2 linked regions of the Mus musculus genome follow. The protein of the gene in region 2 purifies or fractionates together with the protein of the main gene of each other region. This does not show direct contact. Links are inferred from orthologs where the notes say so. Each region holds a gene or a part of one and is shown on either strand. Other genes may lie near its edges.

The links.
Region 1: the proteins of Retreg1 (region 2) and Gabarapl1 purify together in Homo sapiens (affinity purification with western blotting; 3 studies listed by BioGRID and IntAct, with this or other methods). This does not show direct contact. The link is inferred for Mus musculus from reciprocal best matches to the Homo sapiens genes RETREG1 and GABARAPL1.

The regions. Positions count from the first base shown.
Region 1 is NC_000072.6:129,531,786-129,536,284, reverse strand, and holds the start of Gabarapl1 (gamma-aminobutyric acid receptor-associated protein-like 1), read right to left. Parts: upstream 3,094-4,499; 5' UTR 2,839-3,093; coding exon 2,749-2,838; intron 1-2,748. UniProt on the Homo sapiens protein: Ubiquitin-like modifier that increases cell-surface expression of kappa-type opioid receptor through facilitating anterograde intracellular trafficking of the receptor. Involved in formation of autophagosomal vacuoles.
Region 2 is NC_000081.6:25,888,268-25,892,079, reverse strand, and holds part of Retreg1 (reticulophagy regulator 1), read right to left. Parts: intron 2,600-3,812; coding exon 2,493-2,599; intron 1-2,492. UniProt on the Homo sapiens protein: Endoplasmic reticulum (ER)-anchored autophagy regulator which mediates ER delivery into lysosomes through sequestration into autophagosomes.

The sequences.
Region 1 (4,499 bases), on a different chromosome or scaffold from region 2:
AGAATATTAACATTAGATTCTTTGTTTTGAAAATCTCATCTTAGAGATAAGAAATGGGAAATACACAAAAGCAAAGAAGCAGAAACAACACTGGACAAGTATCCCTAGAAGCTGAGTGTCTGTCAGTGTGTTTCCGACCTTTTCGAGCTTCTTCATCAAGCCACATACCTGTCCACCCCCAGATACCATACAAACAAGTACAAGAAAATGCTTGGGTAGACAGACGTGAATCCAAAGCTTCAAGGGAAATAGAAAAGAACTTGAAAAGAAATAGACCAAAAAAGAGGAAGGAAAGAGGCAGGTTACAAACAGAGCACAGGAAACAGGGAGCCCTGGTATTCACCACAGGAACTCTTGAGTCCTGGAACTCCAACCAAAAGGAGAGGGGACTTGTTTTCTGCATCTGTCGCAGTGGCTCATACACCATAGGGATGTTTACAAATGTTTAAAAATAGTATGTCCTACAGTTCCTGCTGTTACAGGTCTCCAACACACGGTTATCTCAAGATCCCATGATCCCTTCTCCCAAGGCCCACGCACACCTCTTAAGAGGCCAAGCTTAAGTTGTGAGTCAGACTGCCTTAGAAACTTAGCGGCTTTCCTGTAAATACCTGAACATAGGAAGATTCGGCCCTGTGACCAAGGCAGGAGAACTCCTGTTATAATCCAGTCATGGAGAAGACACCAGGCAAAGGGTTCCAATTTTAGTGTTGCCCCCACTCCCACCCCCACACAAATCTCAGCAGGGTTCTATGTCACAACCAGATGAGAGGTTGAGAACCTCTCAGATTGGGAGGTACCATCTGGGTGTGAAATCCAGGGATCCATGAGATCTAAGCGAAGGTGTCTTGGCTTACAAATCATCACTGAAGTAAAACATTCAGCATCAAGTCACAAACAGGAGAATACAGAGAAACTGCAATATTGTGGGTGAGTGCTGTACACAACTGAATGCGAGGGGGCTCTGTCTTGAGGAAGGACGGAGGTTTTAGCTGAATTTGGAAACAGTTGCAGGTCACAGCTCGGATTTCTGTTAAAGTTCTGAATAATGGGGGTAGGTGTTCACTTAAGTTTCCTGGCTGGCACCAACTACCACCTGAACTCCAGATGGCAGCAGGTGTTAACCTACTTCTAGGGCTCAACCTTACAAGGCGTTCATCTAACTGTACTACAAACTGGAAAACAAAAACAAAAACAAAACTCTGGAAGCCCAAGGGCTCTGGAAGCCCTGAAGCATGACAGCCAGGGCTGGAATTCTCCTCCACCAGTCAGCAATGTCAAACCTGTGGGTGGTGACTTCACTGCCCTGTGCTTCAGAGCATGTCTCTAGCACAGGGATTTTAATGCTGTGACGAGAGTCGGTGAGTACACAGACAAGGCATTCAGAGTGCTGCCAGCTGTGTGGTCCATGTGTAATTTTAAAATATTAAGTGGGGCTGACAAACTGAGAGAAATTTTGAAAGCAATCCTCCACAGTCCTGAGCTCAAGGAAATAACATGTGAAGGACTGTGTAGTAGGAAGGCATGACTGGAGTGTGCCCAGCCGTTCTGGAAGAGCCATGTATATGTAATTTCTGGAGAATGGTGGAATAGTTAGCTCTCTTCTTCCTCATAGAAAATGGGGCTGAGGGTAGAAAATGGGGCTGAGGGTAGAAAATGGGGCTGAGGGCTTTCTCTTGCTGGACCTCCGTTTCTTCTGGTAGCCCTGGCTGAGATAAAGAATAAGGAAGAAGTCCCTCCCCCCTATTACTTATGCATCAAAAAAAAAAATTATCAGGTTAGCACAGCTCTTTTACCCTTCAAAGTTAGAGGAACGCCAACCTAATATAACATCATTGCCTGTACAAATAAAGAGAACGATTTTTTAAAGTCCCTGGTCCTCTATCCACCATATTTAAAAGCGATGTCATCCTTTGCTTCCAATTCTGCTGCGCAGCCTTCAAAAGAGGAGGAAAAAAAAAAAGGCAAGTGGGCGGGGGAGGGGGTAAAGTGGAAAACACCCGGATGCTGAAGACTCCCTTAGTATTTTTCTCCCCACTGCATGAACTAGGTATTAGCTGCTTAAATCGGGGTATAATTAATGGAGGAAACGGTTCTCAGTACTGGTTCTTGAGATCCAAGAGCCCACCCACCTATCACAGTGCAGAGCACGGACCTTCTTTTTCCACACATGGCCCAGGAGACAATAATGAGGTGGAGGCAGGCATGACCTTGTTTGAGGGCCCGCCTGGTGAAGCCCCTCACCCCACCCCACCCCCAATTCTAAAAAAAAAAAAAAAAAAAAAACGCAGGTCAGAATCTAGGGGCTTCTCGAGTTTTTCCTCCTACGCTCAAGGAAATGGGAAGGAGACTCGTTTTCATGGAGAACCAATTGAGCAGACATGGATGGGCACAAGGCTCATCTCACCTGCTGCTACAGGGTTGGGACGCGTTTTTCTATAGCATATCCTATCTGCGGCCCCCAACCAGTCGCCCCCGCACACACAGGCCTCGCCACGCGCACATCCCAACCTCCATGGGTGCTGAATCCTGCTGACTCACCCACCACGCGCACGCTGCGCTTTCGAGATGCCAAAAGTGGCTACAGGCCCTGGGGATACAAGCTTGTCAAAGCCGGTCAAGAATACTTGATTCCGATGACCCTCCTGTGCCAGGGCCACCCGCCATCGCCAGGCTACCTCGGTAGCTCCAGGGCAACCAGCTCCCAAACTCCTCAAGCTTGCCTTCTCCCTCCCCGCCCCCACTCACCGGCACCCGGTCCGGGTATTTCTTCCTAATCTTTTCACCTTCCTTTTTCCGATACTCGAAGGGGTGGTCCTCCTTATACTGGAACTTCATGATGGACCTCAGGATGTAGGGGCTCCCCGGACGGGGCCTGCTGCGCGCGCTGATGACTGCGTCTCGCGTCTGGCCACCCCCAGTCAATGTCAGCCTTATCACAATCGCTCCACCCGCGTCAGCTCCCACGCGCCAGTCGCCGCACTACGTGGCTAAACGTCCAGAGAAGGACCTGGAGATCTCGCGGCCTGAAGGTAAAGGACCACCAGGTAAAGAAATAGGGTGGCTTTTCCCAAGAGCTGGAAACACAAAAACACCAGGGCGGTGCTGTGACATCACGACGCCCCACCCCCGCTCCGCCCCCGGCGCTAAGGACCTGCTGGATCCGGGTGGACAGAAGCTTTGTTTATTTGTGTATCTTCTTTTCACCCAAGCTTTTCCTAAACCACTCCATCGAAACGCAAAAATCATGTAGTCGGGTTTTTATTTTTGAGGATTGATATTAAAGGTAATTTGTTAATTCAAAGAATGCTCTAACAAATGTCGTCTTCCCTCCCCTTCAAGTTTCTTGTTTGATGCCCAAAACAAACACAGAGGAAGAAAATCCAGCTGTTTCCAGAGCAATGGAATCAGGAGTCTGGAGTTGGAAAAGTGCCAGGCGTCACGAGATTTGTAGCCCGGGCTGAAATGTCCTGTGCTTGCATTTTGACCTTTGCCTGGCACCCACGACTGGCCTGCCTTCTCTGCCCCAACTCCTCCTTCTGACTGGTGTCCTTATGTTTGGATCTGTGCTAGAATTGGTTCTGAGACAACATAAACAGAGCATGACTCATGGATTTGAAGAAGTGTAAGGGTGAAGAACATGAAGTCATCAAGGTTAGAAGAAGCGATGCCAGCGATGAACACCAGGCTTCACTCACGTTCAAGGAGAGATGAATCCATTCATTTTATAAGGTTCACCCAGAAGCATGGTTGTTGAGTTCTTGAAAATACAGAGGTCAAATCATTTAGGTGTCTATGTTTCCCCAACAATACTTTGCTCTGGGGTGGGTATCACCTGTAGGGTAGTTGTCCTGATGAAAAGGCCTTATTGGGCACCAAAAGCTCTGACTGGCATGCTGGTGGAAGACCCTCAATAGTATAGAGAGAGTCAGCCCAGGCCCCTCTGACATACCGGGTTTCCATCTTAAGACTCTTTGGATGCGGGGTCACCCTTCTGATTCTACTGGCAGTAACTCCAGACCTATATCTTGGGAACATCGGAGATAAAGTTCAAGGATGCTTTGTGCTGTGAAAATAAAATGACTACTAAGTGGTACCAGGCAAGCAGCCCTGTTGCCTGATTTTATGTACATGACTTAGTGATATGGTTATAAAATATGGGCAAAATAAAGTGAACTGAATTTAACTGGCAAAACAAGAACATGAAATACATAGCCCACTTCTTGGTTTTCTCCTGGTAATCTTTCTTACATATGAAGACAAATGAATTGGTATATAATATTGTTGTATTTATTTATTGTTGTTTTTATTTTCAAATTAAAAATAGTTTAATACCCAGCTACTCATTTTACCCTTGACCCAAATACAATTAAGTCTTTCAGAAGAAATTTTACAACCAGTTGAGACAGATCTGGGATGAAAATGGTAATAGTGTTGTTTTCTGAGTAACCTTCAGGTTTGTTTTTTTGTTGTTGTTGTTTTGTTTTTTTTTTTTATAG
Region 2 (3,812 bases):
GGAAGAGACAGGGGTGGGTCCTTCACTAGAGCCTCCACGTTAAGTATAGACCCACTGGTGTGTTGTTTGAACTGATGGCTTCCAGAGCTGTGGAGAACTTTGAGCCGCCAAGTGTGTGGTTAATTCGTTACATCAGCCACAGGGAACCATCGATCCTGCCGCTTCTGCACAACTAGGCACAGACATTAACTTTCTCCATGTTAGCCTGCCTTTCTTTCCTTTTGCATCGTTAAGGCCCGGGACCTGAGGCCGGTGCACATTGGTGAGCATTGCACTACAGAGCCAGATCCTCTTTCTATTTTCAGACAGGATCTCGATCAGCAGCCCCTTGTGGTTTTGCACTTCCTCCGGAGCCCAGGCAGGCCTCAAACTTCTGATCCCCGCGCCTTGGCCTCCAAGTCACTGAGATTACAGGCCTGCTTAGGCAATCTGATTTAAGAAGCAGAGACTCTAGGCTGGTAGACTTCAGCTTTCCCCTCCTCAATGTTTTGAAGGAGACAGCTTTTCCGTGAGGAGGGTTTTCAAGGACATTCATCTCCACGGTGTGACTACCAAATGGCTGGTTTAAATAAAAACTGAAGGCCTTGGTGGGCCCTGACAGCCAAAGCTGAAGGACTTCCGCACAGTCCCGTTTTCAGTCTGGCCCCCGCACTCAGAAGCCAAGTCCTTCAGTCCCTCCTTTCCTGGTTCCTCGGATTTTTGTAACTCATTGAAATCACACCTAAGGTCCGGCCAGGGTGAACACCCAGTGAGTGCAAAGTACTCAGGTGCTCAACCTCCAGGGTGGTCAGCGTGCTTCAAAGAAGGCTTCAGAGCACATCCACAAATGGCAACCTGCTTGCATTCTCCTGAGGGAATAACTTGTTGCAAAATATATCCAAGACAACAGCCCTCCGCATCCTGCTATGCGTCAATACAAGAACGCAGGGCTTGCCAAGATCTAGCCCATTTCCCTCCTCAGATCCTGAGGTGTGAGGTATTGGCCTCAGGAGGCCGAGGTACACTGGGATACAACAGCAAACGCTGCTGGAAGTGAGGGAACTGGGCATCTATTCTCAGAAAGGGGGAAGGGTGAGAAGAAGAAAAAGGCTCAAGGGGAAGAAGGCAATGTGTATATGAGGACAGAATTTTCTTTTGTTTTTTTGTTCTGTTTTGTTCTGTTTGGTTTTGTTTTTCGAGACAGGGTTTCTCTGTATAGCCCTGGCTGTCCTGGAGCTCACTTTGTAGACCAGGCTGGCCTCGAATTGAAATCCATGGATCCCTGAAATGCCTCAACTAGACAAAAATGAATTTGCTTAGCTTCCCAGAAAGGCTAGCCGTGAAGGAGTTACCTCCACACCTGACTACACTGACGTGAAACAATCTTTCTAAAGACTGCGTCTATAGTGGTTGGGTTAAGACTGGACACTGAAACATGACCCGCTTGAAAGGTAACCCACGGAACACCGCGATGGCGAAACTCCAGGGCTCAAGTTCTTGTTTGAGAGATGTTGCCACTTTCATGGTACATCCCCATGATGGTGAATCTGGGCAGTCCTGAGACACAGCAGTCCATACAGACACTAATTAAAGCCTCCTCCTTATGATTTTGACCAAATAGATCTTATTACATGTAGACTCTTATGTCCAGGAGGGATTTTTGCCCATTTACAGAAGTTGGTTCAAGTATTAGTAGAGGAGGCATGGAGATTCACAGAAAGGTTGCACTCAGGAAAATAGTATATACTCCTAGGAAGTCAAGCACTCTTTAAAAATGAGTCCAGCTCCCACTTTAGAGCTTACAGTTGGTTCTCTTTCCAACACCATTAATCTGTAACTATCGGTGATTTTTTTTTAAAGCTTATTGCATTCTTTCGCTGAGGTAAAAGAAAACTGTACTCAAACTACTACATTTTCCAGTGGCCCGGTATGAGCTTGTAGGGTGGAGTAAATATTTAACTGCTCTTCTTACAGTGGCCTACTTAAATATCACCCTGATGTGTGACGTATGTAGCTTAGAACCAAGGGAGAGCCCAGCACGGGACCTTTCCCTTGTTCTGACAAGAGAGGGAATCAGAAATACATTATTAAGCTTGGGATGTAGCTCAGTGGTACACTGTTTGGCTAACATGTGCAAGGGGCCTGGGTTTAACCCCCAGCACTGAAGAAAAAAATAAAGTTGTGTGTGTGTGTGTGTGAGAGAGAGAGAGAGAGAGAGAGAGAGAGAGAGAGAGAAAAGCAAACCCAGACAATATGGTGACTCATGTCTATAATCCTAGCACTCAGCAAGCTGAGACAAGAGGATGACTGGGAGTTCTAGGCTAACCTGGGTACAGTAAGACCATATCTCAGACAGAGGGAAGGGGGGTAGGGTGGAGAATGGAGGAAACAGGAAGTAAAGAAAGTAGAAAAAAGCGTCTCTACATGATCCTCATGTTCAAAAGATGAATATATCCACCCAAAAATTAGACACTTGAAATAAAATACACAAAAATCAAGTCGCATATTCTTACCTCTTGTCCTGGACAAAACCATTTCCTTGATGATCTGCATGATAACACGCCCAAGAATCATGACGGAAATGAGGTGATACACTCTCCAAGGAGTCAAGGCAAGGAACCTAGGACCAAAGAAACAGACAAGACTCCATTTTACTCTGAAGATTTTCAATTAAAAAAAAAACTCACCCAGACATACAAATTTGTTAGCACTTCCTCTTTTAAGATCATACAGGGGTCTAATCCATATGCCCACCTCCTCTCTGGAGAAAAACAAATTAAAATTCCCTAACCATAAAGAGTACATAATACCTGCAAGGCTCCTTTTGGCTAGGACCACAAGGGAAAGGACTAGCCAAGAACTCAGAAGGAGCCTGGACTCTTCAACGAGACTAAAGGATGAAGCCTCTGATTGTCACAAGTTCACTGGCCAAGTTGATAACTGAAATGAACTTGGTTGTACTCAGAAACCCCCTAAAAAAGTTACGTTAACAAATGTTTAATAGCAAGGCTCTATAGAGAAGAAATGGAAGCTGGATGGGGTGGTGTGTGCTTTTAATCTAAGGACTCTAAAGGCAAAAGTAGGAGGATCTCTGTGAGCTTGAGGCCAGCCCAGTCTACATGATGAATCCCAAACTGTTTCACAAAACCAAGGTGGGAAGGGAGAAAGAGGGGGGGGTGAGGGGAGAGAAGAGAAGAGGAGAGGAGAGGAGAGGAGAGGAGAGGAGAGGAGAGGAGAGGAGAGGAGAGGAGAGGAGAGGAGAGGAGAGGAAGAAAAGAGACTCTGTACTTCTTTCTGTGAACTCTATTAGCAGACAAACACAGACTTAGCTAACAATGCCCAAAAAGCACTGAAGAAGACTGTATAAAAAGGAGACAGTGTATCAAACACCAGCATTCACCACTGCTTTCCGACTGTGGATCCAATGTGACCAGCTGACTAACCATCCTGCTGCCAGGCCGTACTTGTTGATAGGACTGTCTCCCCTTAAACTGTGAGTCTAAATAAACCCTTCCTTCCTTAAGTCGCTTTCATTGGGTATTTTGAAGGTAGGGTTCTGGCTTTTATGCCACAGGCTATAGGGAGAAAGCCCAAGGCATGGAGCAGAAAAATAAAATAAGTGATTTAGGAGGATAAGCTGATCTAAGAAGGAACTATGCAATCAAGCTACCTTCTAGAAAGATATACAGTATATCTTGTCATATATTTGTGTTGCGGATAGCCCTGGGGCTAATTATATTTGATGTTAATTCCATTCTCCTGTGAGGGAATGTGAACAAGGAACGAGTCAACATTCAGGTGATCTCCTGTAAACCTGCATCCCACCTTAATTT